4 linked regions of the Struthio camelus genome follow. The protein of the gene in region 2 purifies or fractionates together with the protein of the main gene of each other region. This does not show direct contact. Links are inferred from orthologs where the notes say so. Each region holds a gene or a part of one and is shown on either strand. Other genes may lie near its edges. The genes, in order: HP1BP3, LARP7, LTV1 and KPNA3.

Region 1 (7,538 bases), on a different chromosome or scaffold from region 2:
ATATCTTAATTGCAGAATCCAATATTACAAATTCTGACAAACCACTGACACTTGAATGTAAGTTTTAAGCCATGAACATTGCACACTGGGGTTAAGAACCTTTATCAGCAACACCCTTCTTGCATAGATGGTTTAAATTTGAAAGCACTATTAACCCTTCTCCCAAACTATTCCTAATTCACTCATCTCTGATTATTTTATAGTACAAGACTACACAAAATAAAACCTATGATTTCCTTGTACTCTGTATAAAATCTACTCACACTTCATATTAGAGTCCATTAACGTAAAGCTTCTTTTATTCTCTCTTATGGAAGGTTAAAATCCTCAGAACACCCTGGCTGACTTGTAACAAAATACTGACAAAAGCTCAAACATCAGTTTCTATTGAAAGAGAAAACGCAAGAGACAAAGATATTCTGGAGACAAAATTAATCCAAGCAGCTAGTACTCAAGGAAAAGTGCATGAAACTGAAAAATTAAGTAATTAGGGGGCACACTCATTTAAAGAGGAGAACGGCTGCAAAAGTCAGTAGATATTTTCAAGGCGTATTCAGTAAGTTCTTTCCCCCCACCACAGATCTGATGTGTATTCTTCCCCAACCCGTCCCTGACCTCCCAGGGCTTCCCACTTTATCCACCAATCTCTTTAAATCCCTCTTGAGGAAGGTAAGTGCTCTCCTGTACCGTCCATTAACACATCTCCTCCGTTCTTTAAATTGAGCAGAAGGGATGCTAATCAGCAAGCCCTTCCTCTTCTCTCATTCCCCCTATGCACACTGTCCCCACGCGTAGGAGCTTGATAGCATGGGATTGTTTATAAACATTAGTACTTTCAAACCGTTGCCGCTGCAATAAAATAGCTGCTTGCCAAAGATTGTTAGCCAACTATTTTGCTGAAGATGCTTAAAATACAATTTATGGTATTAAAAAAAAACAAAAACAAAACATGCACGGAAACCAGAGAGTAGCTATTATTCAAAAAAAGACTGATAAGAACTGAAAAGTTGCATGCTTGTTAACCCAAAAAACAATTTAGCAGGCAAGCAAGACTCCTGAAAAAAGGAACCTGTGAAATACCAAAGACAGAAGCAAGCTGCCAGCCTCTGCTATACTTTAAAAGGAGCGAACACGCCCACAAGCACAAGATTAGCTAACTTTTCTTTTCCTCTAGCAGAGGCTGAGCAGTCCCCCAAGATTTGCAGACACCTGTGACTAGGAAAGGAGCCACAGGCAGGAAGGAGTTGCTGTGAATTGTGTCCCCAGTCGGGAGCTGTCCTCAGGCAGTATAAGCTGGTGGAGCCCTCAGACCTGGAAAGAGCCACATCAGTTTATATTGGCTGAGAATTTGGTCCACTGCTTCTCTCTCCCATCTCGAGTCTTTGTAGGGTTTCAGCCAGAAAATGCAGTCCAGGGTGGCAATAAGGATAGCGAACCCAGAATGAATGCGCTCTGAAACAACCCAGCCTCTCTTGAGTCCAGAATTTATAGCTTTCTGTACAGAGAAGCACACACAAGAAAGGGAGGGGGGATAATTAGCTTCTTTAACGAGGTTGTGACCAGGGAGAAACCCAGAGGCGCCTGCTCTCTCCCAGTTTAGGCCAGTGTCTAGCTCTCAAGGCACAGAGAGGGATTAGGAGCTTCCTTGCGGAAGGGCTGCACGCTCAAGCCTCAGGGAGAGGAGAGGGCGTTTTCTTGAGTGTGGTGCCACTTCTCTGGACTGCGGTGAAGTGAGTTCGAGGAGGAAAAAAAAAAAAGCAACAACAACGGCGAGTACACAGCTGCTGGAGTCGGGGCACTTCCTCGGTTCGCGCCGAACCGGTCAACAGCGAGTGTTTCATCGCTTCGCGCCCGCCTCAGCGCTTGCCGCCGCCGGCGGCTGTTTACCAGGTGTCAGCAGCGGGGAAGGGGCCGGGCACCTCCCTTTGTGCCAGCAGCGAGGCGCTGCGGGCGCCCACCCGCGCCGAGAGGGCCGCGGGCCGGACCCCGGCCCTGCTCCCCGCGGCGCACACCGGCGCCCGGGGCGGCTCAGCCTCGCCTGCGGGCCCAGCCCGGCGCGGCCCGTGACGGGAGACGAGCCCCGCAGGGCGGAGCAGGCCGCGCGGGGCCCCTCGCCTCACCCGCCGCCTATCGCGACAGCCCACGACAGCGTCCCCCTCCCTCCCCGCCCCACGCGCGGTCTGTCACAACGCGGGGGGAGGGGCGGCGCCGAGGGGTGTTTCCCGGTGGCCCCGCCAGGCCGCCCCCGCTCCTCACACACACATACACACACGCAGCCCCCCCCCCCCCCCCCCGCCGCGGCGGCCTAGCGGGCCCGGCCCCCCCCTCCCCGCCGGCCCGGGAGCGCGGCGCCGCGGGGCGGGCGGGGGTCACTCACCAGCAGGCCCAGCGGACACAAAGCGGCCCCTCTAATGGCGGCGGCGGAGGGGGAACCGGCGGGGGAGGGGCGGGGGGGCCGGGGCAAAGGGGCGGGGGGCGGGGCCGCGCGGCGGCCAGGGGTGTGGCCGCGGCGGGCGGGGGGGGTGGGGGGCGGGGCCCGCCGGCGCCGCCGGCCAATGGCGGCCAGCGGGCATTTTTCGAACACCGCCCCCCCTCTCTCCCCCTCTCGCCGGCCGCGTCCACGTCCCGCGTGCGGGCCGGCGGCCAATCGCGGCCGCGGGGCGGGGGGGGGGTGACGAGTGGGGGAGGGAGAGGCGCGCGCAGGCGCCGCGGTGGCGCATGCGCGGCGCCCTCCGCTTCCGCCCGCTCCGCGCGGCGCCGCCCCTGGCCGCCAAACAAAACGCGGCGCGGCGCGGGGCGGGCTGAGGGGGGCGCTCGAGGCTCCGCGCGCGCGCGCCGGGGCGGGGGGAAGAGGGCGGGCGGGTCACGCGCGCGCTCTCTTCCCCCCCCCCACCTCTGCGACCCACCTCAGCGCGCGCGCGGCGGGCGGGGCGCGAGAGCTGCTGCGCGGCCGTTAACGGCTCCCTCCGGCGCGCACTGCGCGCGCGCGCGGCGCCAACCGCTCCCCCCCCTCCGGCGGCCGTTGGCCACGCCCTGAGGCGTTACCCCTGGAGCCTACTGAGGGCACCAGCGTGCCTCTCCTCCTCGCCCCGGCCGCACACAACCCTAAGGGGGCAGCGCGCCCTTGAGCAACCTCACTGCAGCGTCGTGTCTTTGCCTCTTGCCTCTCGCTTCACCATCCTCCCGCCGCTTGCAGCTCGGCCGGCACTTGCCTTTGCTTGGCCTGAGCCTCTTTTTTTTCCCCCTGACGCTCTCACCGTGTGATTTACAGTGGCGGGCTGCGTTTCCCCCCCCCCCGAAATCCCTCTGTTGCCCCTTTGCTTGCGTTTAAAGGATAACTCGCAAATTCCCTTCTCTACCTGTGCTTTTAAGGGGGGGCTGTAAGGTTTAAAGTCCCGCGGCAACGTCGCGCCGGGGCTGTTGCGCATTCCTCAGCTTTCTGCCACCCTTCCCCGCTTCGATGGCGGCCGTAGCAGCGCGCTACCAGAGCGCCTGGCGGCGTCCCCCTCCCAGAGCCGCGCTGCTGCGCCCGAGGCCTGGCCCCAGCCTGCGCCTGCTCCCCCAGGCCCGGTTTAGCCCGCTCTGAACGCTTTGTTTTCCTCCGGGCCCCTCGAACAGCCCTGGCAGCGCCGTGGCCAGATGGCTCCGCTTTTGCTAAACATTCCTCCGGTTCTCGCCAGGGCGAAATAACGACCACGCAGCTGCAGGAAAAACGCGCGCCGTGGCCTCTTGCCCCCCCCTCCTCGCGGTGCCTCTCCGGCAGGAGGGGCGAGGACAGCGAGCGGGAACGCGCTCCTTCCTACTTTTGATAAGGATTAAGCACTTTGGCTACCGTTCCTGCCTTCCCAAGTGCCGTGCAGTAGTAGGACTCCAACCAGCCCGTGCAAATTTTTTTTTTTTTTTCCTTAAAATCATTTGATTCGATTGCATCTTTCCGCGGCCCTGAAGCTTCGACGTATGAGCCTGGGGCTTTCGTTTCTGGAAGGGTTTTTCTTGCCTGTGCAGTGCAACTTGCAGTCTAAACCAGGTCATTCAGATGTACTGCTGCCGCGAAGAGCGCGCATCAGTAAAACGTAGCCTGTCAAGAGCCTGAACAGGATTTCCGCCCCCATCGCCTGAGAGCGCTTTCCAGAGCAAAGCAGCGAGCGTGCTTCTGTTAGAAACATTCACACTTTGGTGTGAATTACCGGTTGTACTTCTGTTGCAAATACGTCTGACTACAAACTCCATTTCAAGGCTCACGAGACGCTCCGTTAACTTTCTTACCCTGTGCCAACTAATAGTTTTTGCCCGTTATGCCACAATTTTTGTTTAACGTGAACGTTTCTTGCTTCACGAGCGCTGCCCCTGAGTTACTTAGCGTTACCTGCCACATAGCGTACAAGTTATGGCTTTAGCTATTATGTTTTTAACGCAAGACTACTATCACTTTGACTGATAATTCATTGCGTCTCAGGGCCTCCCGTGCTGCGCGCGTTGTACGTGGAAAGCGGCTCATACGGTCTTGCTCTGGCTGGCCAAGTGAGCACGGGCTCTTTGTTGCCAGCTTCTGCTTTAATGCTTGTCTGCAGCTCCCGACTTCAGTTCTGATTATATTTAGGCCTTGCCTCCGGTGTCGTCACCCTACCTTGGCAAGTTTTTTTTTAGTTTCCCCTTTTTTACCCTCAACTTTCCCACTTGTTTCATGAAGCCTTTTATAAATTAGAAACTTTTTGGCATGCCGTTGGCCTGGCTCGGGGAGAACGCAAGCCTTTTTCCGTTTCCTCCCGGGGCTGATCACAACCAGGCTTGGGGTGGGGTTGGGGGGGGGGGGGGGGGAAGCGTCTTCCAGTTGCCTCCCTCTTTCATCCCTAAAGCTTCACATCCTGCTGCTTATCCACCTCGGCTGCTCTGCCTTTAAGCGTCCGTTCGGCTGACTTGCTGAACAACTTACGCTCCTCTGGTAATTCATATTTAACCTTTTCAGCTGCAGAGTCCTACTGTGATCCCTGTCTTTCTTACAACTCTGTGCAAAAAGCACTCCATTTCTGGCTCCAACTCAGAATGCATCTTCCCTGCTGCTCTGTGGCCTCCCGTGTATCATCTTTGATCTCCTTATTCTTTAACAGCCTCCTAATACATTTTCTCAGGACTTTTCCCATGGACTGGGCTGCTTCCCACTGTAGCCCTACCCTGCCTCCCAGCTGCTCCTCTCCTGCTGCCTCTCTAACTGCTACCCATTAAGGCTCTAGTTAGCTTCTCTTTTCAAAACGTTACCCCTTTCCAAAGGGCTTGCTGTTAATCTGTGCATTTCCAACCCCCCCCCAACCCAATTTTATATTAGTTCTCAGCAGATGAATAAAAATATGCTTAAATAGACTTAAGTTGACCCTATGAGTGACAGAAATGTACCTACCACTGGGAGTGACAGAAAGAGCAGTAAGAAGGGGGTTTACATATTTATTTCCAAGGCTGCCGAGGGCACAGTAATGCTTTGCTCTAGTGAAAGATTTAGGGGGCTTTTAGGCAGCAGAGGAGGCATTCACCTCCCCTCTCTACAGCCCAGTGCAGACCTCTCCATCAGAGCTTGTCACCCGGCCTTCCTCCCAGGCCACCAGAAGCAAACAGGCACGCCTCTTCTGACGTGACGTGGCCGGGAGAGCGCCCCACAACTGACTGTTTCACGTCTCTGCTAGAAAGGAAGTCTACTTCCAAGCTCATCATCTCAAGTCAGGCGGGACGAATCCCACCTCTGCTCCCTCTCAAGTGAATCCAGAAACCTCTCCGGTGGAAGCAGCCTTGCAGGGTGGAGAACAGGATGGAGGAAAGCGTTGCCTATCCAAAGTAGCCTCTGCAGGTTGCTGCTTTTCTGGAGATGCTCAAATCCAAAACAGATCCTTACTGCCTTCGTAATGAGGCAGCTACTCTCGTCACTGGGAGGCCAGTGGCTGAGGCCTGTAATTTTTCTAGAGGGGATAAACACTTTTGGCATTAAAGCAGTGACTTATTTTACACAAAGCAGGCAAGTGAAAACGACAGCTCCCCTAAGCTGAGCAGGGGTCAAAGTCTACCAGCTCCGCGTTTCACCCTGGGAGATCACACCTCTTCCAAAGCTGTGTGTCCCCACAGTTAATATCTGGCAGCAGGAACACTTGTGTTTTGTTAAATTCCTTTGCTCTCTGAGCCAAATGCTATTTCAAGTTAAAATTGGTTAGCAGCAGGCTGCGGCACAAAACACGCAGTGCCTGTTCCCCTCACCCAGGCAGGTAATAACTTACTGTCAGTAACGCCTCCTGACTGGCACGCTTTAACAGCCACAAAAGCTCATTTTTGGCTGCCAGGCGTGCACAGCATGTCCCTGCCATCCGCAGCATGCACAGTGCATGCAGCAGCCTGGCTGGACTCTGGCCTCCGGGCGGAAAGCAGCGCTGGTTTCTCGCCGATCCTGCAGCCGTAGCAGAGTAAAGCCGTGCCAGCAAGCCTTGCTGCGAAGACAGAAGATCTTTGGGTTGAAAAGGAATTTAAAGCATTCTTGGCGTTGGCTCTTCCTTGAGGCGTACAGTCAACCCTAGCGTTAGCTTGCTGGTCTCTCCATGGGGAATTGTGTCAAGCGGCTTTTCTTCGAGATGCATCAGCCACGGCCCAGGTTCCTCAGAGAGCATCGCAACTTCCACAGCTAGCAAGAAGGGCAACTGCTGGCCGTTCCCCTCTGATCGCTTCAAAGGCCTCTGCCCTAAAGCACCTTGGGAACACACGACTACTCAACAGTGGGTCAAAACAAACATCCGCTTGACCCAAGCCCTGTCTCTAACAGGGAAAAACAGTTGTCTCCTTGGAGGAAAGGATGGTAACACACGCGACTGCCCTGTTCTGCAGAGAAGGTGTGTGAAGCTCCTTCTCTTTCCTGGTCGCAGTACCCGAAAGAAGCGTCTCTTTCCAGCCAATCCCAAGGCAGGCACGTACGCTGCACAAACCAGCAGTCAGGATCAGGACGGGCTCTGCTGGCCTGCTGTTATGTTTTGCTTTTGGGGCAGATCACTGAAAGGATGGAAAATTATTTCTGTCCTGAACACCCAAAGCAGGGCTGTCCGGTAGGAGAACAAAGCTGTGAGCTGTGCCCATCGCCATAAATTAAAGGAGCTGTGGTGCTGCAACCGTGCAGAGCGCGCAAGAGGCTGAGAGCCCATTCCCTTCCCAGGCCAGCGGGTTTTGAGGAATTACGCCGTTTCCCAGCACATTTAGATTGCTCACAAGCAAACGGGAGGTGGCCTGGGCTGATGGATTATTCACTTAAGGCCATCTTTAATGGCAGGACAGAGCATTTCCACTGGACGTTATTTCAGAACAGCTTATTCAGCAACACCGAAACTACCAATTTTCCCTCCTGCTCCAGACGGTACCAACTGCATCAGCTGAGATGATCTTTTCAGCTGCCTTCCTGCTCTTCTCTGCAACGCTGAGTGAAGATAAAACACTTCTAACAGGGCTCCGCTCCATGCTAGGTAGCGCTGTGTAGCCTGCGAGCTCAGTAAAACTCTGCTTCATGACACTATCTGCTG
Region 2 (7,644 bases):
CTTCATGCATTTTGAGTCACTCAGCCTTGGGACTTCTTTCCCAGGAGACAAGTTCTCATTCGAGCTTAAAGGAAACACAAAAAAAGTTGCAAGCTATATTCTGCTCTTTTTATGGCACTCCCTTTCTGCTACTGTTTCAGGAATGAATCTTTCGGAATGAGATTTTGGAGGCACTTAGAAACGCATCAGAGCAAACGTCAGCTACGAATCCATCTTACAATTTGTGTACAATTTTACATTTAGTAGTGAAATAATCGTATGTGAGAGATCATTGAGTTTAATTCACAATATAAGAAAATATTGTTTACAAATAAGGAAATGCTTTGAGTTCGACTTTTTTTGTTAGCATTCCTTTTCTTCGCAATTACTGGTGCAAATCTCAATTCAGCAATGAAAGCTGCAGCCCAAAGCTATACAACATGCCTGCATTTTCGCTAATTTGCCACCCTTGCAGTTGCAAACACTGTTTTGTTTAACAATAAAAATCAGAAGAAAGCACAAGCAGGGTCAAGATTTCTGCCTATTAGAACAACTACTCTCATTTAGTCTTTCTCATATAAAATAAAATCACATATTCCCTATGCGCAAGACTGAAAGTGGGAAAAGGAGGGCAATTAGGCAGGCTGGCAGGGTAGGTGAGGAAAGGGGGAAATCCAGAAAAACAAAGGACATGTAAATAAAAATAATGCAGGTTCACACAAATCTATAGTGCTTTGTCTAAACACTTTATAGAAGACAAATGGTAACCAAATTGGTGCTATTCTGTATAGAGACAAGTTTCAAACCCCCAACTTCTACTGTTACAAGGACACTAGAAAAGCATAATCAAATGCAACTGTCATCCAGAGTCTGCAAGAAATATAGTCCCAATTGTAAAATATCCAGTTCCCTTGTTTTAAGTATCAATATACATACGCTTGTTTGCTTTTACGATTTTAAGTATCAAGAAACAAGAGTGGCAAGAATCATTCAAAATACTTTTTAGGCTATGAAAATGTTTCCATATAGTGTTTCCTCTTTTAGATACATATGCCAAACTAAAAGTAGATATTCAGCATAATTTAAACTACTTTCAAAGATGCATTTTGTCATCTATGTTGGATATTCTTATTCTAATAGATAAACAGGAAGAGCTGCACTAGTTTGAATTCATACCCTACCTAATAACTTAATTAGGCAGAAAGTGACCTGAGAAAGGACAAAAGTTACATGAAGACTAGCACGCTTTGCTACATAACCTAACAACAGAGAGCCTTCTGCTTTCTTCCGATTTGAACCACGAAACTAGTAGGTAATTTTAAACTGACATTTAAGACATACAAAAGATGTCATAAAATGCTGAGTATGGATCCTAGGACTAGTGTGCTCACAAACAGAAAAGGTTCAGCTTCCACAGGACAGTGATGGCTGTTACGGCTGTCTCCAGACATGGGCAGACCTTACTGTGCCAGGCCTGCCGTGGTCACCGTTTCTCTGTCATCACTAGAGCCTGAAAGGGAGGTTTTGAATAAAATGCAGGCCCACAGCACAAGGCAACTGCAATAACAAGAAAACAGGCACCTCTAGCAAGACATTTAATCAGTGGATCCCAAATAACTCTGCAAACAAAGTCAGTCACATCATCTCCTTTTTTCACAGCTGAAGTAAGTGGACAACCACCAAACTCATCTACTGTCACAACTCCTGTTCCAGAGTCTCATTTTCCCATTCTTCATTGCAATGGCTAGCAAAGGCCATTCTGGGTCATAAGTGCAATAAGCCTAGCTTCAGGTGCAGAATTAAGGAATACAATTAGACTGATTCAGCTGTATGAACCAACAATTCACACTAACACTAAAAGGACAGCCTGGTTCCTGTCTTACTCACTACACAGTCCTCCCTCAGAGTCTGTATCATCCTCTGGGGAGGCAGTTCAGCTCTCTGATCTGAGAAGTTACTATTTTGTAGTCTTACTTCTCTGCTGGGTAAGTGGGTTAGGTCAACTCATTAAAGGACTTAATAAGCAGCACAGATGACGAAGGGAAGCTGCAGGGATGAGCCCTCAGGTACAGCATAGAGAGGTTACAAAAGCAAGACATTCTGCCGCCCTTTTAGTGGCTGCAAACAGACCAGCTCAGAGGCACTACACAACTATAGGGTGAACTTCCTCTTCTCTCCCCTTCAAAGAGGAGAGGCACGATGTACAAGTTTTCCTAGCCCCATTGCAATCTCTGCCACTGAAGCAACTGGCAAAATGACAGTCCCTGAAGAGGCCAACCACTATATGTTTGCCAACTATTTAGGTATTGACCACTGCAGGTTTCAGCCCTGCTACTCAGATTGCTCACCGACCCGCTGCGTCTGCAGGAAGCAAAGGCAGAGGTTAGCCCAGGCGTGACAGACCACTGGATCAGGTTGCCCAGAGAGGTTGTGGAGTCTCCTTCGCTGGAGATATCCAAAACCCGCCTGGATGTGATCCTGGGCAATATGCTCTAGAGGTCCCTGCTTGAGCAGGGGGATTGGACTAGATGATCTCCAGAGGTCCCTTCCAACCTCAACCATTCTGCGATTCTGGGACGGTACCTCAGGGAGACGCATACGCCGCACCCCGGCACGGACGCGACAAGATGGCGCCCCCCGCCGGCCGCCTCCGCCGCAGAGACCCAACGGCCCGCCCGGCACGAGCCGCCCCCTAACGGCCTGCGGCCCCAGGAGCGCCCGCGCATGCGCACGAAGGCGGCGGCGCAGGGAGGGGCGGCAGCGCCCCCTGCCTGCGCCGCCGCAGCGAGAGCGGCCCCCGACGGTCGCCGCCACCGGCCGCCGCGCCACTGACCTGTCGCCGTCACCCGCCGGTGGGGACCCGAAGAGGCCGACTTCGCAGGGGGACACCGGGGCCGCGCCGCGCCGTCCGCGCCCGCCTCTCGCCGCAGCCCCGCCCCCTCCCTCAGCCCTCACCGGCCGTCAGCCCCCGCGCGACGCGCGGCCCCCTGGCAGAGAAAAGCCCCGGGGCGCCGCGCACGCATGCGCAGTGCGGCAGCGGGGGGAGGGCGGCGGCAGCGGCGGCGACGCCTCGCCTCGCTGCGGGCGCGTGATTCGCTCCTCGCGGGCGGGGGAGGGGAGGGGAGGGGGGCCTGTCTCGCTGGCTGTCGGCGTGTAGTGACGTCACGCCGGCAGTGGCGGGAAGCTTTCGAACGCGCGGAGGGAGCGAGCGCCGGGGACAGGTGGGCGGGGGGCTGCGAGGCTCGCGCGACCCCCCGCTCCCGCAAGGGGGCTGTGACGTCAGGTGACGTAGCGTGGCGTGGCCGCCGCCGCGCGCCCGCAGGGAGCGGCTCGGCCGTTGGCGGCGGCGGCGGGGGTCGCTAACGGCCGCGGGGTCGCTAACGGCTGGCGCAAGCTTTGGCGGCGGGGCGGGGGCCTCCCCGGCGCGGGGATGGCGTTGCCCTGGAGCAGGGAGGTCCGTGAGGAGGCAGGCTTTAGTGGAGCACCCGCGTACTGAGGGCAAATGCGTACAGCTGCCCTGACCGTTAGCACGGGGCTTAACCTGTACGACGTGTTAAGAGCGAGCCTTTAGCAAATCTGTATAAACTTAATGCTGGCAGCGTTCGTATTCACTCCCGCTTTTGCTGCTTGCTGTGCTAAATCATAGTAAGTATTCGCATTGTTTTTAATAGCTAGAGGAGGTATTCTGTGTCCCTAGAGAACGTCTCCCTTTCTTCCCTAGGTTTCGTACGTTGCTAAACATCTTTTCTTGTGTTTGCTTCTGAAAAGTGTGTCACTATCCACAGTGCTGATCCGGGGGCTGCCAAGAACGTGACGGCTGTAAGAAACAGCGCCATGAGAAGAAGCATGAATGTGCCTGTGTGTAGCTACTTTATATTAAAGTATTTCTCACTGAGCTGCAGTGTGAGAATAACTGGAAATGTTATGTTATTTCTTGTGATGCGTTTTCATTGCAATGCCATTAATTGATTAAACTAAATAAGGTCTTAAGTGCTGCTCTTTAAGCGCTGGTGTAAATCACAGTACTGATCAAATATTAGCAACCAAAATGTACAGTAAGCCCCAGCTTCTAAAGACAAGTTGCTTTTATAAAGTTTTGTTCCCATTTTCACCATCGGAAGCTACTTTAAAAGTTATTTTGGTCTAGCTTTAAATATGTAAAGAGGCTTGACTTCACGGGCAGCTGATTTTGAAAATCAGTTATCTTGAATGTGAGTTAAGCATGCGTGACCAAGTCAAGTCAATAAACTCTTGACAAAGTTAGTCTGTTAATAATTTCCATATTTTCTTGCTGCAAGTGAACACAATTAGGATAATTTGTAATTTCAAAGTGCTATGTGATCAATGGAGTTTTCAGAGTTGCTAGACATTCATTTAAATTAATTTAAAATGGACGTTGGTGTATATAAATTATTAATTTTTTTTTAACCAACAGACTTTCTGTTAAATTATTTTCAAGGTGTGTCTTTAGAATTCCCACATCACACATGCCTTGAGGTGGAGAGCCAAGGTGTGTGTGGAGTTTTTTTACTTTTTTTTTTTTTTTGCATCTAGCTTTCTACTCTTGAGAAAAAATAAGTGAACTGGCATCTGTTTTTTTCAGTACATTTCCCTTACAACTATGCTGAATTCTGAAAATTTTCCTGTCTCTCAGGCTGTATGAAGGTATGAATATTTGCAGAATAAGCTGTTGGACGAACGTTGTGCCAAAACAATGGCTTCTCAAGAGTTTACTGTAAGTCTTTTTTTTTACACTGTAGGCCAGTGAGTAAAAAAGTCAATATCGATGTAGCTGCTGTATTATTTAAACATTTTCTTACTTATCACTATTTCAACATTTAAATCAGGTACTATACACTCACCAAAAAATGAAAAAATCAAAAACATGGCAAGATGGAATTCTGAGGATTAGAACTGGAGGAAATAAGGTGAACAAATTTAATACAATTTGATATCATCTGCTGCTGTTTGACTATCAGTGCCATGTAGTAGATCTGTGAAATAAAATTCATTATTTAAAATAACGATTTCTTTTCATTGTAGGCAATCTTGTTTGATGATAAAGGACAATGTTTGGAGAGTTTGTTTATAAAATCTCAGGTATATTTTGTTTTGGATTTTTTTTATTTGTATGCTTATGATTGTGGTTTGTGTTGCAGGAAGCCTTCCAAACCCTTGTTTGTTTGGTAATTAAGGTAGTACTTTTTCTCTCTAGCGATATGGCTGATAGTTTCTTATTTCTTATGAGTGAAAAATATTACGTTTTTGACTCTTATGTGCAAGTATCACAACATTTAGAGGGAATTGTTTGTGTTTCTTACGCAGCACTATTGTGTACCCACTGCTGCCTTATCTTTCCTAGGTGAATGCTGGAGATAATTTAGAAAGTGAACGCTATTTGATCACAGTTGAAGCAGTAAAACTGAATGAAAAATCTTCTGAAGATCAGCCAAGGAAAGCAGAAACTCCAGCAGTGAATAGAAATGGCGTAAAGCCTGGTGGTCTGCCTCCAAGACACCTGCCTGTTGGGTTGAAAAGGAAGTTTACAGTATGTCTTTGTTTCAAAGGTTGTCTGACATTAACATGCATTTTAAAACACCAAGGGCACATTTTTAAATGAATGATGAATATACAGATAATGTCTTCCTGCTTTTTTTTGGAACTGTAAATCAGAATATGTTACTGGAAGCTCTTTTTTCGTAGTTTATTAAATCTTTCTTGGGTTTAGCAGAATTGCTGTTGCTAGGGGTACAGTGAAAGTCACAAGGGTTTGAGATTATTTCTGTACGTGTATGGAATCATTGTGATATTTGGTCAGAATATGGTTTATGAAGCATGTCCTGTTTTCATCTTTTAGATTACAAAATGTGAGGTTGATTTCTGAGTAGAATTAATTTTAAACTTTTCTCTTAGGGTTTCCAAGGGCCACGTCAAGTTGAAAAGAAAATATCAGCAAAGGAAGATGAAGAAAAAGCAACATTATTGCCTTTATCTAAGCAGTGTCAGAGTTCCTTGCCATCTAAGTTTTATATCACCTCTCCCTTATTTTCTACTGTTTGCAAGAAGGATGCAGACACAAATGTATCCACCAGCTTTCATGAAAATGTGTATACAAACAATGATAAAGAACATGTGTCCTTCACCTCACTGGTTTCAGCTCCATTTCTTGAGACGTATAAAGAGACAGAGAAGAGTAACTCTGATCAGTCCATTGTGAAGCCAGAATATCCTCTAATTAGTGAGCACACCAAGGCAACCAGTCGTGTGGCGGTGTCGCAGAACATCAGGAGCACAGCACAGATAATTGCTCTTTTGAAGTCTAAACCAGCCCACCTATGCACAGAGCAAACAATTTCTGAAGTCACGGAATGCCATTCTAAGTTTCAGACCTCAGAAAATATAGATAGTTTCTATAACCAGAAGAGTACAACCCCACCTGGCTTTTCAGGCAACCCCGGCAAAGGTTTTACTCAAAATATTCAGCACCAACATTCTACAAAGGAAACTGGAAGTGATGAAAGGGAATGGAATGCTGAAATGCTTCTAAATTCAGCTGAACAAGCTTGTGATAAAGAAGTTGCGGGACAAAGACGTGACAGAAAGGCAAATATCTTAAGTCAAGATTTACAAGACCCCTGCAATACAAAGACTTTGCACCCTGAAAAAATGTGTGTCTGTATGAATTTAACAGACAGCAAAAGGCAATGCATTTGGGATTGTGAAAGATGTCGAGAACCCTCATTCTCTAGAAGTGATGGGGTACCTAAACCATTATCGATTAACAAATGTGCTGCTAGTGACCATCCAAATAGTTGCTTCCTATCTGAATCTAGCATAAGTAAAATGAGCAACAGTCAATGTGTCCCATCCTTAAGTGATATTTCTTATTCAGCAAGTCCAGCTGAGTCCATCGTCCTTGAAACAAATCTCTCCACATGCAGAGAGCGTTCAGTGACTAATGGTCTTAAAGAGGATTCATCTTCAAAGTCACAAAATGAACTCCAGCTGAGACGAAATTCAGAAACAGTGTCCAGTGACTTGGAGCTCTCTGCGGACGTAGCATTGACTGGTCATGTAGTTGTGAAAGAGGAATTAAGTACACATGGCAGAGACAGTGGTCCAGAAGAAGAGGTGATGGAGGTGAATTTCAATTTATTAGAGGCTTTTGATTTTAATGACACAGACAATAGAGAGCTGTGTGAAAGAGATGTGAAAGAGCTTGGTGAAGGAGACATGCTTTCACAAGGTCCAGTTTGCTTAAAGGGAAAAGACGCAGCACAAACTGTTGAGCTGAGACTTCGTTCTTGCTGTGAAGTAACACCACACAGTAAAAAGGAAGAAGTCAGAGGTTTAACGTTTGACAGAGGGAATGATGGAAATCACTGTCCAGGAGGTGTACCGTTGCCGCTTTGTGACAGCGGCATTGGCGATATTGGGAGAACTGCGGAAGACTTTGTAAGCCCCGCCAGAATTGAAATGGAACTTTTGGATGATATAAACAAAATAAAACAGATTAATGAAAGTCAATTAAATATTGAAGCCAAGACCCATAAAAAGGATCTCAACGACTGTGCAGCACATACTGTTAATGACAGGTTGTCGATAAACAGTCAGGGCTCTGATGTTTTGCCTGGTGGCACAAATGTTAATGAAGGTCATGCTAGA
Region 3 (7,824 bases), on a different chromosome or scaffold from region 2:
TTCTTTATATAAAAAGTCTTGCAATACTATGTCAAATTTAACCATATTTGAGCATTGTTATAGTACAGTAGAACGTTGCTGAACATACATACCTTCTCTTCCTTTCACGACTTTGTGTGGTGGTATATTAATTTGTAAACTTGTATAAATTTTGGAATTAAAGAAAAACTGTGGTTTGGACAATTATTTCAGCTGGTATGATTTCAAATTAAAAAAAAAGATCTCAATGGATTGTTTGAATGGGCATCTAAATATATGAGTAGGGGCAAGAAGGGTGCAGAGGTGGCCTATTCTAATTACCTGTCACCATTAAAATAGCTCTTAAGATATTTTTTCTAAAAGAGAAGCTGAATTCAATTTACAACAGAATTGTAAATGTAGGAGAGGTATTCGAGCACTGTAGATGACATTTCTGTACATTTGGGAACCGATAGGTTTGTGTCCCTTTCCAGGTCTGTGCAGAACAATTGCTCTAACAGTAAATCATAGCAGTATTAATATGCCGTATTTTATAGATCCAACTGTACCTTAAACACTGGACTTCAAAGAACATGTATTTTCTGTGGCAGAGCTGAAATACACCATGGGTGCTCAGTACTAAGAATCCTTGGGCACATGACTCCTCCCACTCAAGTCTGCAAGGACACCTCTGAGATGACTCCAGTAAGGAGGGCTTGATGATCCAACCACCACAGGTTCCTGGTGCTTAAACTCCAGTGGGATTTTATTAGGGTGCAGTAAAGTCAAGAGGTGCTTATGCACTGAATTTGTTAAAAGAAGGATTGGGGCCATAGTCACCTGAAATTAAATTTTGGTCTTTCTGCCTTTGTAACTTGGATTCATTGGAATTATTTTGCAGTATATAATGAAGTGTCAGCTATCAATAGGCACTGGGCCAGTTCCTGGACTTTTATCGTTTTTATTAATTTGGTAAAAAATAGAAACAAATTGTGCTCAAAGTATCCTGCTTGAATTTCAATAAACGTTCATATTTACGAGTAAAATAAAGTAAACAAAGCTTATGACTTGATTCCCCACTGCCCATCATGCTAGATAGTTACTGATAACTGTAACAAATGGAGGTGAAATGTTACCAGCTTAGAATTGCTGGCGTTTATAAAGCTCACTTTCCACATGCATAAATGACTTTCAAAAGATGTGAGGCTTTGGGGAATCAATACCCTCAACTTTTCAGTTTATGCAGTGTTTATTTTGCATAATAATTATAAAATGAATGCCTCTACTTGTATCTTAGTAACTTGACTTAGAGTGACTGAATACGATAACTTTAAAGAAGCGACTGATCTGATACTGCATTCTACACAGGATATCTGTGAATGTAAATTACAGTAATTGTTACAAATTAATGAGATAAAAACCCAAGAAGCAGCTATCTGCACTGTGGTATATACTTATACACACACACACACAAGTATATTTCAGTATTGTCATCTGAAAAAGAACATGCATTATCTTTTTTATGCAGTACACACATTATGCTTGTGTTTTATGTTTTTACTTAACAAGCAAAACATGTGCACTGCCTAGTTGTACAGTACCGTAGGATACTCTGCTGTGCACAATTCCAAGTGCCTTAGAAAACTGTTTAGCTTTTTGAATTACAGATATGAATGAATATATACAAATATAAAATGAAGAAAATTACCTCAATAAAATTGTTCAGAAAATCTTTACAGAAAACATTTCCTTCTTGAATCTGTAGCAAGTACATGGGTGTGTATGATGGAGTAAACTGCAGAGAGCAGTTATTTGTTGGAAGGTGGTCTCCAAAGATTGAATTCAAAGTCACTGCATGCAAATGAAATGAAGGAAGGATCCTGAAACCTTCCTTTTCATCTTGGGAGCCCTTCACACACACCTAGTAGCTCTCTTGGGGGTGGTCTTATTCATGCAGAGGTGTGTTGAAGTGCTGATAGGTTAAAAATACGTAGTGTACTAGCTCAATAGTGCAGAGACCTAGTTTATGCTCCCAACTTCACAAGTTCTGTATTAGTAAATCAAGCAGTTGTTTTCACTAGCTTCAGCAGAATAACGTGATTGACATGAGAACTGAATTAGAATTACACCTACTGCATTTACATGGACAAGACTGATCCGCGCAGCTCAGGGTTCGAACTAGTCTGCAGAATGTCTGCCCATCTTTTAACGTGACAAAGTAACTGGCAATAACTTTCGCTTTGTAGTTATGTAACCAACCATACCTCCTGTTATTGCAAGAACTAATAGCAAAAATATTTAGCATAAGGTTCCTCAAAAGGAAGGCAGATTGTTGATAATGTTAAAGAAATTTAGGCTTCCTGGCCAGATTCTAATCTCTTTTAAACTGAAGTAAATCCAGAGAGAATGAAGTCCAGAAAGTCTACTACATTTACTCAAGGATAATTTAAATTGCAACATAAGCTAGGGTTATTGATATGTCATTTATTCTACATTACTAAACACTTTTCTGGAAAGAACAGTAATATATTTGAACAAAAGCTTGCCTTCTTTTCCTGCTTATTTAGTATTGAAGTATAAATGTTAAGCTTTGGCTTTTAAACCAAATGCCTTCTGAACATCTATTTGGTAATTAAGGCAGCTAAACGTACAAATAATTTCTGTGGATTGCTCCAGTATACTATTGTGTATACAGTATACTCCCTCTGCGGTGGGACCATTCTGATACTGAGCATTCTTCTTCCATAAACGAAATAGAAGTGGTTAGTGAGCTGACCCCCTTTTCTCCCCACCCTCTGTAAATGCTCTTTGTTGACTTGAAACTGCAAGGCATCTCAGCAGAGAACACAGTGAGAGAGTACACCAGTACAGATGACCTTGTAGGGCTTAGATGAGACTAGAAGTTTAAGTGGAGTCTCCATCTGAGAGACTCCTGCATACATATTTCACATGCAGGTGATACTAAACTCTGAATTTTGAAAGATCAGACATCAGTTGGAAGTAGATGAATCACCCTTAGGTATCAAAAAAGGAGGTACATCAAACACCAGGAAGATGTTTATTACTGCTAATCTCACAATTTTAAAACTAATATCTAGATGTATTACGGTTGAGATGCAGAATCAGTCTTCTGAGATAAGGGAGCCTCTTCCTGTAGTCACAGGGCAAACATATAGCCAAGGTTATTCCCCTTAAACACGTGGAATCGAAAAAGGAAAGACACAGTGTGGAAATGAGTTAAGACAGAAAACCTTGACTTGTAAAACACTGAAGAGGTAAATTTAATTTGCCCCAAATGAAACAGATGATTAGCAAGGAAGCTAAGAGCAAAAGCTAGTTCTTCCAACTTGCAGGCTGACCAATACTCCTAGACCGGATTTTAAATATAGGGTATGAAAGTATTGTTACTGTTGGGTAGGAGGCTGTCCAATTCTCAGTACGAGGGGCAATCCTCTTACCGAGTCAAGGGACGAGTACTTTGCACCATGCAGCGTTCTGCAGGGATACTAGAGTTAGCTCAGGAACCTGGAAGCAATAAGGACTAATTTACTTTGTAACCCGGCAGAGAAATGCTGAGCACTATGTTTTTAACAGTTTGACTATTCCACTCCCATTATCCAAGTTGCCTAGTTAAAAGCTAGCTCAGCTCTATCACTGGTTTTGCACCATGGACATACTATAGGATGGGAGTTAGTCCTGTTCAGTGCAATCCTGAAAAATCTATTCATAGCATGCAACCAAAGGGTTGCTAACCCTCCAGACTGAGAGGCGTGAATCAAAGTTTCATGTGGCTGAACGCCACAAGATGACCACCATATATTTTTAAGACGCAAGAGAAAAGGAGTCTCTAGGCTTTTCTCAGAAATAAGCAGGGATAATTTGAATCCCCCGAGTACAGAAGTCATTCATGGAGCGGATCAGATTAGCTCATCCATTTCCGTGAGATTAACGTGGTGAACCTCATCTTAAAGCTTCAAGACTTCAGAAAACAATAGCAGGAAAGCGAAAATCTGTAGTCTTTTGGAGCTTTAGTGACACCTAGTGAAAAATACTGACATTCACTGAAACATGATTCAAGCTCATTATTATTTTAAGGTATACATACACATTTATTTGGGTGTTCAGATATACAACCATAATATGTGGAACGGTTATTTTAAAAATAATTATTTCTTAGATATCAATAACAATTCTTTCAATAGCTTTTTTTAATTTTTGTAATTGCCTATACACACATAGAAGAAATTCCTCCCGTTTTGTAGCTTACAATTTCTTCTGAAATGCAACAAAACAATTTTACCTAATATGTCTAAACTGCCAAGCATATTTTTTCGTAGCGAGGAGTGTGCGTCTGTGCCCGCACTTGTTTGTGCACAAGTGTGCCCGCGGGCATGCTATATGGCACAGATAGTTTATCTAGTGACATAAGGAGAAAGGACACTGATAATATAAATACATAAATTATACGTATAGCTCTTATTTACACCTCACCCTTCAAATTCGGCCTGAATATAAACTAGCTTGGAGCAATACTGGAAAACTGTGTGGCAGGGACCTCTGAAGCACCGCTAGCTGAAGACCCCCTTTCTGCTGGGCAGGAAGGCAAGTCCTGCCTGTGCCTTCTGCTTAACATAGCTTCTTTATAAAGGTTTATGGTAGTTCCTGAGCGCTCGCCACTTAGTGACGGGAGTGAAATGACTTCAGTTTTTCATACCCTTTCTGTTCTCTCACCTCCTTCACGTGGACAGGGCAGGTATGCCAAGCAGCCAGTCTCCTTTTCACAGGATTCATCGGGGGATTTTGTTCGTGGGCGGGGGCGGGGGAAGGATTCGCTATTGCCGTTGGGGGGGAGACGGGCGGAGCAGAAGATGACCAGCAGGACAGCGCAGTGCCAGCCGCCCCGCACGCCCCGGAGGAGCCCAGGCGACACCGGCGGGACGGAACCGCCGCTGGCGGCCACGCAGGGGGCAGAGCCCCACACACGGCTGAAACGGCCCCCTCCTGCCCCGCGCCGGCCACGCCCCTAACGGCCACCCCGCCGCCGCCGGGGAGGGGGGCACGCGCCTCCCTGCCAGCTAGCTCCGCCCCCCCGCCCTCCCCCTTCCGGTGCGCGGGGTCGGCGGCTGCGCACGCACCTTGCCCTTTGGCCCGACCGAAGCGTTCCGCCGTTGCGGTCCCCTGGCGGGCGGAACCATTCTCCACAAATTGGGGAGGGGGAGAGGGAAGAAAACGCGGATGCGGAGGAGCTCCTTCTGCGCGTTCAGAAAGCCTCTTTTTCACTCTGAAAGTTATTTAGCCCGAGAAAACTCCTGCTGTTCTCGTGATTGCGAAAAAACAACCCGCCCGGCGTGGCAGCCTGTCGGCTTACCCCCCCCTCCCCCCATGGTCCCTGCTTTATCCCAACGCGGAGGCGGCAGCCGCGGCCGTGGTGACGCCGCGGCGGTTCCCGGCCGGGCCGTGTGGTAGCAGCGCCCAGCACCGCCGGCGGGCAGCGCCGGCCGCCCTCGCGCCATGGTGAGCTGCAGCCGTTGCGGGGGAGGGGGGGCTTGTGTCGGTCGCCCCTGCGGCGGGGAGCCGGGCGCTGCCTGTCCCTGATGGGGGGGGGGGGCAGAAGAGGGCGCCTGCAGCCGGTAACCGTCACCCACTCTCCCTTACCCCACTTTCACCCCCTCCCCCCCCAATGGTTTTGGGTTGAAATTGGGGGTTTGGAGGCCTGGTGAACCGTCTCACTTGCTGGGCTGGGCTGGGCTGTGCGGAAGCTTTTTCCTCGGCCCTGTAAGGGTTCAGGGCGCCCCGGAGCTCCGGACCTGCGGGAGGGGCGGGTGCGGCGGCCCCCGGAGTGGTGTTGAAGAGGAGGTGGGCGGGGGTGGAGGGGGCAGCGTGCCGCGGCCTGTGCCGCCTGCCTAGGAATGGTTGAGGCCTGCACGAGGCGAGCACATGCTCCTGGAATGATTTCTGGGTTTGCCATAGGCCAATATTAAGAGGTGGTGTCTAGTTTTCCTGCTTGATGTCCTGCAACGTCAGTGTTTTATAAGCACTTCACTTGTATCACCAGTCAGCAGAAAGTTTGTTCGTAGGGGTAATATGTTGTCTGCTTCCCAGAGCTGATTACATCTCATTTTATGATTATCCTAAGATTTTAAGATATAGGATATTTTTCTTTAACTAGAGATACGTTTTGGCAGTTGATATGCTCAGGACCTTGATGTTAAATGGTGTGTAAGGTTTTATATGTTAAAAGAAGATTAGGTTACATCAGTAAGATAGTCTTCAGGTTACATATATTTTCTATCAATACATGCTAGTAGGTAAACAAAGCTATAAATTTTGATAAAAGTATTTCTTTCAGTTAGATGTGCTGACTTGTAGGAGGGGCTTTTACCCACGTAAGAAAACTGCAGATTTTTGTTGATCCAGAACGTGAATGTATTTGTGGTGTTCAGGTTACATCTGCATAGTGGTGTAGTTGATAATTGTTGGGGTCGATGGTGAATACGTAGAAATTGCATTGAAACATCTATCTGAACAATTTGCAAGAGGCTGTGTTTGTCTAGATGAATTTGCGCCTATCGGTTTCCTGTGTTTCTGTGATGAAGTTTGTTTCAGATATGCCCCAGTGTTTAGAAAGCAGTTACATCTTAGCATACAGTCCTGCAAAGGGATTTTTTAAGTATGTGCCATAATCAAATACTTGTTTCATATTCGTATATTGCCGTTTTACAGCTGAATACGGTTGCATGTGCTATTGGAACACATGAAGTAACTTCATGCTCTTCTGCGTGTGGGCGGAAGAGTTGAGCGAAATACAGCTAGTCTCTTGCTTTGTCTCTAAGTATACGTTTTAAGACTTTATGTTAATAGAGCATGTTTCAGGCAAAAGATCCTTTTTGGATGCATTTTATATTTTGTTTTTTATTAACGATTAACATAACCAAATGTTTTTTGCAGCCTCACAGGAGGAAGAAGCCCTTCATAGAGAAGAAGAAAGCTGTAACATTTCACTTAGTGCACAGAAGTCAGAGGGATCCACTTGCTGCTGATGATACTGCACCCCAGAGAGTTCTGCTGCCTGCGCAGAAAGTAAATACTTGCTTTTACTATTGAGGTTCGGATAGGAAATGCTGCACTGGAGAAAGATGGGTATGGAGTCTTACAGTTGAAGTACATGAGAGAAGATGGTTAAATGCCGGTGTTCAGCTGTAACTTGTTTGTAATTTTTGCCTGATACCCTAAGGAGGTGAAACGTGAATATTATCTTTCTGACCTGTTTGTGTATTTGGTCTCCCTGTATATACTATACGCATCTTTGAAATGGTTCAGAAGCATCCTGAGAGAGGAGCAGAAGTTCTGAAAGTGTTTTGTTACAAAGCTTTCAGAAAAATCAGTTGTGTGGAGAGCTAAAACTCTGAAGATGGATAGAGATAGAACATCTCTCTGTTCTTTTTGCTAGCCAGTTAACATACACTTCTGAACAAGCTTTTGTACTCTGGGAATGTGGAAGTGGGTAGTGAAATAGGAGACAACAGAGAAATAGGAGCAAAGATTATTAAAAGGAAGGCCATGCGAGATTGTGGGAAGGTATAACTGGGACAGAAAAAGGGGACGTTGTAGGGGATTTGATAGTTGTGAATTACTGCCTAATGGATGGAGGGATGGCTAATTGGCAGTAGGGATACAAATATATTAAAAACAACCACAACAAAAAATCATCTCACCCACCCTGAAAAAACAGGCTTTGTCAATTGTGCTGCTTATGAAAAAAGTTGCTTAAATTCCTGCTCAGACAGCGTCTAAACGCTTTACTAAGCGGTTTCAACATTCTAGTTGGTTGTGTGTTAGGATGATGTGTGGAGAGAGGACTGTAGG
Region 4 (7,032 bases), on a different chromosome or scaffold from region 2:
TATGTTTCAACCCCTTCTCAAAGCATGGATGCAAGTTTTAGTTCCATTAATGTTAATGTGGTTATCCACCAGGCAAACAGTTTCAGGGCTGAACTACAAAAGGAAGTCAATCAGCCTGGCTACTGTAAGATAACCCTATAGGATATATTCTCCATAATTGCAAATACACTATTCCAAAATAATTACTTCGTTTCAGGAGCAAGCGTTCTACTGAGAGCTAAGGCACCTTAGCTGGTCTGGTATAACCAATGCCAGTAAAGCTCAGGCGGTCAACTCCCCTCTTCCTCCCATACAGGCAGACATTTAATTCCCCTAGTCGTGGGCATGCTATAATATAAGCAAGTATGGATGACAGATCAGTTCACACTAGGCATGAACATACCTAACCTTTCCCTGTTTAGAGCTCTGATGGATTCAGGCCAGCGCCTGAGAAAGCAGCAACAAAGCCAACAACGAAGACGAGGAGATGAGACAAGGACAAAATGAATGAGGAGTAGCAGGAAGAGTCTTGCTGGATGAGAAGGGAAAAAAGAAACCTACCATGTCTCCTCCCCCTCCTTCCCTAAACTGAAGGATGGTCAATTTTTAGTTACTTTCAAATAATTACTACTGTTAGCCAAAAGTGCTTAAGTTATCACGCTCCTTACACACAAGGTCTTCTGTGAGAAAGAATCACTGTCATCAAGTTAAACAGAAATTGAGATAAAGATTAGTTTACATTGTGAATGTCATCCTAAAGACACTGCTGCTAAGCCTGACCTGCATGAAACTGTCTCCACCCAAACAATGGCAGCAGAGGTGTGATTTATGCTTAAATACAAAACATGCTTTCAAAGGACTAAAATTCCAGCAACATCGATTGTAAAAGTATAGTCAAGTGATAATATCACAATATATCAGCAGAAGGAAGGAAAAGCAGTCTCAGGAGGAAAGAAAGTAATTTTACATATATTTAGGCTCTCCTGCTAGTGAATCCTAATTCGACTTCAACCCTAGTCTGGCTTCAGGGCCCCCTTCCTTTCTTATTACAGAAACTTAAAGGCTTAAGATTTGGGATTTCCTTCCTTTTCCGTTGTGACTTAAAAATCGAAGATGTCCCTAGTAATGGCATATAGATCCCCAAGACTGTAAGAAGCCCTCCAGGGAATAAGCGAGCGGCCTTTTCACCACCCAGACTCTCTCAAACTCGGGGGAAGCAAACTAACACTCCATTAGCCTGAGAGCCCCACGCTCTTTCCCGATGTAGATGGAGACGCCCAGCAGGTGATTCCTTGTGTACCTAGAACCATAAAAATATATATGTGTATGCGTGTGTGTGCGTGTATATATGAAACACAAAAAAAGGTGGTTTAAGCTAGAGCAGGGAGCAAAATCGGCGGGCCCAGGTCGCCGCAGAGAGGTCCATGGAGGGGGGGGCGGGGGAGCGGCCCCTGCGGTCTCCCCCTGGCCCTTAGCAGCCGGCGTAGGCCTCCATGTGCAGCGGCGCGCAGGCGGACGGGCCGCCGCTGCCCGGCGTGCGAGCTCCGCCTCGGGCGGAAGGGCTACGACCCGCCGTGGGGGGGGGGGAGCGGCACAAAAGGCAGCCGGCACCATTGTGCAGCCCCGAGCGCACCGGGCAGGGCGGCGGAGGGCAGGGGCCGGCAGGGAGGCAGATGGAAGGGGAGGGTGGGGGGGAAGGTGCCGGCGAGGAGGGGCGGATCGGCGGATCCCGGCGGCGCAGGGCCCGCCGCGGCCTTCCCCGCCGCCCCCCCCCGCCTCAGCCGGGTGGAGGGGGCGCGGCCGAGCCGGGCCGGGCCGGGCCGGGCCGCTCGGCCGCCTCACGCCGCGGGCCCCGCACACCGCCGGGGCCGCGCTAACCCTCCCCCCCCGCCGGCCGCGCCCGCATGACGGAGGAGAAAAAACCCCGCGGGCCTCCTGCCCGCCGCCGCCGCTGCCCGCCGAGCGCCGCCAGGCCCGGCCCGGCCCGGCCCCTCCTCTCGCACCCGCCTGCCCGCGGCGGAGGAGGCGGAGGCCGGGCCGGCCGGGCCCCACCGGGCCCCGCGCCTACCTCCACGTCGCGGCCCTTGTTCTTGAAGCTCTTGATGCGGTGGTTCTCCAGGCCGGCGGCGGCGGCGGCGTTCTCGGCCATGGCGGCGGCGGCGGCTCCCAGCTCCTGCGAGGCGGCTCCGGCGGCGGCAGCGGCTCGCGCGAGGGGAGGGGAGGGGAAGGGAGGGGGGCGGGGGAAGCGGGACGCTCCGTGACGAGCCCGAAGGGGAAGGAAAGCGGAGGGGGGGGGGGGGAAACGCGTGCGGGAGCGCGCGCGCGCGCGCGGCGTTGCCAAGTGACCGCGCACGTGACGCGCTCAGAGCGACGGGCGGGCTCCGCCAGTGGCGGCGCGGGCTCTTCTCTCGCCCCGCCCCCTTCCCTCTCTCCCTCGGCGTAACTGCCAGCGCCGTGCCCTCGGCTGGGGACTGCGCTGCCCAGCATGCACTGCGGCCCCGGCCCGCACGCGCCAAGAGACGCGGCCCGGCGGCGGCGGCGGCGGCCCGCGCGTTGCATTCCGGGAGTCGTAGTCTTCGCGGCGTGGTGCGGGCGGGAGCGCACCCTGCAGGGCGGGAGGAGCGGCCGCGGCCTGGGCCTGGGCCTGGGCCTGGGCCTGGGCCTGGGGGTTCAGCAGTAAATACGGGGAGACTCGGGGAGACGTTGAGGCTCCCAGCGCGGGGAGAGCCTGCCGGCATGGCGGCGGTGGAGATGCGCAGCCTCTCCGCGGTGGGAGAGGGCCCCGCTTACCCCAGGGCGGTCGCGGGCTCGGGCTGCACCCCAAATCTCCCGGCAAGGCCCTGCCACCCGGGCTGCCGCGCGCGAGCGAGCGGTGGCTCCGCTCCCCGAAGGCGCCACGCGGTTACCTGCCTCCTGTGGTTCGGTGCCTGGTTCGCAAACCCGGCTTTGGGTTGTTCTTCCAGCTGCGGTTATATCAGAGGTCACCTGCGGCGGCCTCTTCCGTCCTAAACCACAGCGCCAAAGTTGCCGTGTTTGGTCTGGGGAAAGCACTGCGAAACAAGCATTTGGCGAATCAGAGGTCTTGGGAAGCCCTCGATCTACTTTAGCTCACGTGCTGAGCCGTACCTGGAAATTAAATCCAATGTAATCCAGTGCTTTCCAGACACGTCGCTTGTACGAGGCATGCACAGCGCGGCTGTGCGTATCCTGGAGGTGTCACACTTGCTGTAACGTAGAATACAAACGGTCTAGGCCAGTCCGACCGATTGTCCCCGCATCATGAAAAATTGCTAGAAATCCCCAGCTCGATTATGCAACTGTGACAGTAGGCCTATGGATACACTGCAAATAGATTCAGGATTTCCAGATCTGCAAATGCCTGGGTACAGCAGGTTTCTGCATATGTTCAACCTACAATACCTTAAAATTGCACTCAGTATTTCCAGAGTGGAAAAGAGGACGCACTGAGGTGATGTAATTCTAGACACCGGTAACCAGTGATCAAACATCTTCTGTAAAGCCAGGTCTTACTCCTTTGGAAGAAAAGCGTCCAAGGAAACCAAAATCTAAAAATAATAAAACCCTGTAACATTCATATCTAGCTCACCTTATATCACATCAGGTCCTGCAATAGACCTTTGGAACCATATACAAGCTCTTCATAGACCCTCTCTTTCTCCTTCAGAGTCCCTTCCTTCAATCAACAGCTTGGCCTTTTAATTGCTTTCCCCCGTCCCCTCTTGCATCATTCAAATGACTTTAACTTGTAACTTCTAGTTCTAGCAAAATAAGGCTTGCAGCCTGTTGGAAACAAGCAAAATCTGGAAAACAACTGCTCTTCCTCACTGTCGTTCAGCTGTGTGCCAAATGTTCTCCTGTGAGGAATCACTCTAGCACTTGAGTCCCTCTTGGATCCAAGCAGCCTGGGCTCCAGATAAACATTTCTCCATGCATTTCCCCCGTTGCTTTGCCTGGGTGTGCTGTGCTGTTATTGCTAGCTGTGGCAGCGAAGAAGGAGCCCAGAGCATGCAAAGCGCAAACGCCACGACTAATGTGACCGTATTTATCAAGACTGCTAATGTCAGAGATGATAGCTTCTAGGTTCTAGCACTTTTTCTTTTGAAGGAAAATTGGACCCAGCTGTCCGGCTGTCTTCAAAAGAGTCACTAAAGCAGATTCAGTAGCTGAGAACTTTGTTTTACCAGCCAAGGAAGGTGGTGGCAGCTGCCAGCTGTGGCTTATGCAGAACCGCTAGGACATCAGCGCAATACCGCTTTGAACCCTGCCAGATGGGTGTTACAGCCATCCTGTGGAGGAGCCGCACACCATTACCACGAACAAAGGAGCTTTGTTCAAATCCATTCAGTGTGATATATGAGGTAGAACAGAAAACTTAATGAATAAAAAATAGAATGTCACCAATCTGAGACAACTCAATTTACATGAAGCTGTATCCATTGCGCTCAGTAAGATATATAGATACAGTGGTGGTCGTGTCTTTTCTTGTCTGTTTCTTCTTACCCATGATATAGGCTTTTCAGAGTTTCTGTAGCACATTTGATTGGTCTTGGTAGACACTTCATAACTGAATGCCTTTTAGACAGAGCTACATGGCAGTTTGATTAGTGTTACTGTCTGAATAAAGCTTCTTGGTGGAATTCTTGACTAGATAATTTAACTTGCATGCGCTCAGAGAGAACACATTTTGATGCAGTGCCCTGAATACTGCTTTTTGGCACTGTAATAGCCACTGCTAAAATATAAGGAGCAAATACTTCGCTACTTTGAAAACTGAATGAACTATGTAGTTCAGTGCGGCCATTCTTCCTCACCACATGAGCTTCATATTGACGTGTTCCTGTGGACAAGATCTGCAAGCCTCGACCCATCCCCGTCCCCACAGTGGCACCTGATACCTAGGGCTGGGGCTACCCCAGCTGCTCCCACTGCTGAAGTGAGTTGATCTGTGTTTGTTTCTGGAATGACCTGTTGACTTCAGCAGAAAAACATGACTAATAAGGTGATATTACCTTGTTTTGGGAACCACAGAGGAACAGCTCAGGAGCCTGCCTGCAGCTACAGCGTCGACACCCCTGAGGTCACTGGTCACTCGCTCATATGCGCTCAATGATTGTGTCAACACCTGCCAGTCGATACAGCTGCAAGAAAACCAGCATATAAGAGAACTGTAATGCTCCTGAGTAATACTCTTTCTAAAGCAGCTCCGTGTCGGGGGGCTATCAAGTATGCATTAATAAAAGGACCTGCAAGAAGGATCAGGCAGATTTAGATGCAGCGATTTAAGATGCTACCAAGTATCAGCTCTGTCTGGCTGGTGCATGTTACAGGGGGAGGCAGGGGGGCAAATAGGACATGTGCCATCTCCTCAGCCTCCCTGTTCACAACCATGAGGAGCTGAAGCTGAGACATGTGCGGTGAAGGAGGTGCAGGTGCCCTCTGCTGCAAGAGGAGTGGGGAAGCTAGTGAGATGCTGTTTTCTTAACCCACTGCAGCTGGACTGGCTGCAGACTATCTGTCAAAACCAGGGTCTATAAAAACACGTAACTTCCAGTTACAAAAAGATGCAAGGAACACTACTTTAAGTCAACCTAAGTCATTCATCAGTCTCACCTCTTGCTTGTCCTTCTCCAAATGGGAGGCCTACGTGTCTCTGGCTTGTATCATACTATCACAGGCAGAGCAGAGTGGGAGGAAGCTTTTCTGTACAAGATTTGCCACTGTTCACACAGTCTCTTACTCCCAACAGACGGTTAACTTTTGGGCCTAGCTTTCCCCATCTATTAGAGCAAGATTGGCAGATGCTTGTATAGCATGTATCCCCACATTACTTTTAGCTCTCTGGCAGCTGGCTGAACTGCGTCTCGTTGGGTGTTGCCCTCTGAAGAAAAGGGATGTCTCTTTCTGTAGGGATGAGTAACGCATAAGGTAAACTAAGGCAAAGTCACCTGCAAACAAAGCCTTTGGTACTCAGTTTGTCTTTACAACGTATCACTTCAGTAAGACTATTGCTGCATGTTGCTTACATTAGCTATACAGAAAGGCTACTTTGTGTCACAGAAGTCAAAAATTGTCTTCCTAGGAAAAGACTTATGTTCTTACCACACCGTAACTAGAGTTTAGTAATGAACGTGACAAGTAAATAAATAAATAAATAAATAGTAAATAAATCCTGGTAAAGACTCAAGCTTTGTCAAAGGCTGCTGTCCAATACCATGGCTGCTGGAAGGTAGTCTGCGCTCAAGGAGAGACAAGACAGGTCTACCAAGGAGAAACCCATGGAAAGTTGTTGTATAGAAAAAGCCACATCCAGGTCAGGAAATCTCTAATCTGAAAATAGTTGGAAGCTGGGAAAGTGTTGGGGGAACCATCATACTTATTCCTATCCTTATACTTTTCCCACGGTATCTGCTGGTGACTGTTGGCGACGCAAATGAGATGGTCTGACCTGGCATGGTCCTGTATTATTTGCAGACAAGGGACAGAAGCATTCAGGGACAAGGTGGCTTGTCTGCTACTATTTCCAGAAGCTGTATGATGTTTTTAGTGAAGGAGGAACTGTAAAACCTCTGGATATTCACAGCTCCCATGTTCAATCTAAGAGACTCTCTTTGTCCCCACTTTGACCAGGAGGAGGACTAGGGGAAGCTCTTCGCAGGTGAGAATTTCGCTTTCCTCCACCACTATTCTCACAAGCAACTCCAGAGTAAGTACAAGCCAGTTTCTCATCTTCTATTTGCTAGGATCAGGGAGCAGCAAGGACTGCTCTGTAAGGGAAGGCCAACTGGATCCAAGGGCAGGCATGGGGCAACAGCTTCAGAGACAAGGGCACAGTACCACAGTACTCCAACAAGAAGAGCAGAGCTGCTCTGGCGATGGTAACCAGGATCAGACAGGAGCTCACCAGGCACGTCACAGATCAAGCCAGTGGGTTAGGGCCCGGGTCTGGATCAGTGAGGTACACAGGCAGGAATGGGCATAGCTGCGATGTAGCTAAGGCAGAGAGCAAGGACAGCAAGCAGCTCCTGAGAGGAG

Evidence for each region.
Region 1: the proteins of LARP7 (region 2) and HP1BP3 purify together in Homo sapiens (affinity purification with mass spectrometry; 3 studies listed by BioGRID and IntAct, with this or other methods). This does not show direct contact. The link is inferred for Struthio camelus from reciprocal best matches to the Homo sapiens genes LARP7 and HP1BP3.
Region 3: the proteins of LARP7 (region 2) and LTV1 purify together in Homo sapiens (affinity purification with mass spectrometry; 3 studies listed by BioGRID and IntAct, with this or other methods). This does not show direct contact. The link is inferred for Struthio camelus from reciprocal best matches to the Homo sapiens genes LARP7 and LTV1.
Region 4: the proteins of LARP7 (region 2) and KPNA3 purify together in Homo sapiens (affinity purification with mass spectrometry; 3 studies listed by BioGRID and IntAct, with this or other methods). This does not show direct contact. The link is inferred for Struthio camelus from reciprocal best matches to the Homo sapiens genes LARP7 and KPNA3.

Annotation. Positions count from the first base shown.
Region 1 is NC_090962.1:9,085,308-9,092,845, reverse strand, and holds the start of HP1BP3 (heterochromatin protein 1-binding protein 3), read right to left. Parts: upstream 3,015-7,538; 5' UTR 2,907-3,014; intron 2,516-2,906; exon of another isoform or gene 2,378-2,515; intron 1-2,377. UniProt on the Homo sapiens protein: Component of heterochromatin that maintains heterochromatin integrity during G1/S progression and regulates the duration of G1 phase to critically influence cell proliferative capacity.
Region 2 is NC_090945.1:23,239,626-23,247,269, forward strand, and holds the start of LARP7 (la-related protein 7), read right to left. Parts: upstream 3,012-7,644; 5' UTR 2,813-3,011; intron 2,718-2,812; exon of another isoform or gene 2,563-2,717; intron 1-2,562. Other genes in the region: 5'-3' DNA helicase ZGRF1, read left to right, coding at 4,694-4,714, 4,827-4,907, 5,023-5,079, 5,342-5,527, 5,893-7,644. UniProt on the Homo sapiens protein: RNA-binding protein that specifically binds distinct small nuclear RNA (snRNAs) and regulates their processing and function.
Region 3 is NC_090944.1:77,174,021-77,181,844, forward strand, and holds the start of LTV1 (protein LTV1 homolog), read left to right. Parts: upstream 1-4,821; 5' UTR 4,822-5,469; coding exon 5,470-5,472; intron 5,473-6,906; coding exon 6,907-7,038; intron 7,039-7,824. UniProt on the Homo sapiens protein: Essential for ribosome biogenesis.
Region 4 is NC_090942.1:192,846,281-192,853,312, forward strand, and holds the start of KPNA3 (importin subunit alpha-4), read right to left. Parts: upstream 3,020-7,032; 5' UTR 2,129-3,019; coding exon 2,048-2,128; intron 1-2,047. UniProt on the Homo sapiens protein: Functions in nuclear protein import as an adapter protein for nuclear receptor KPNB1. Binds specifically and directly to substrates containing either a simple or bipartite NLS motif.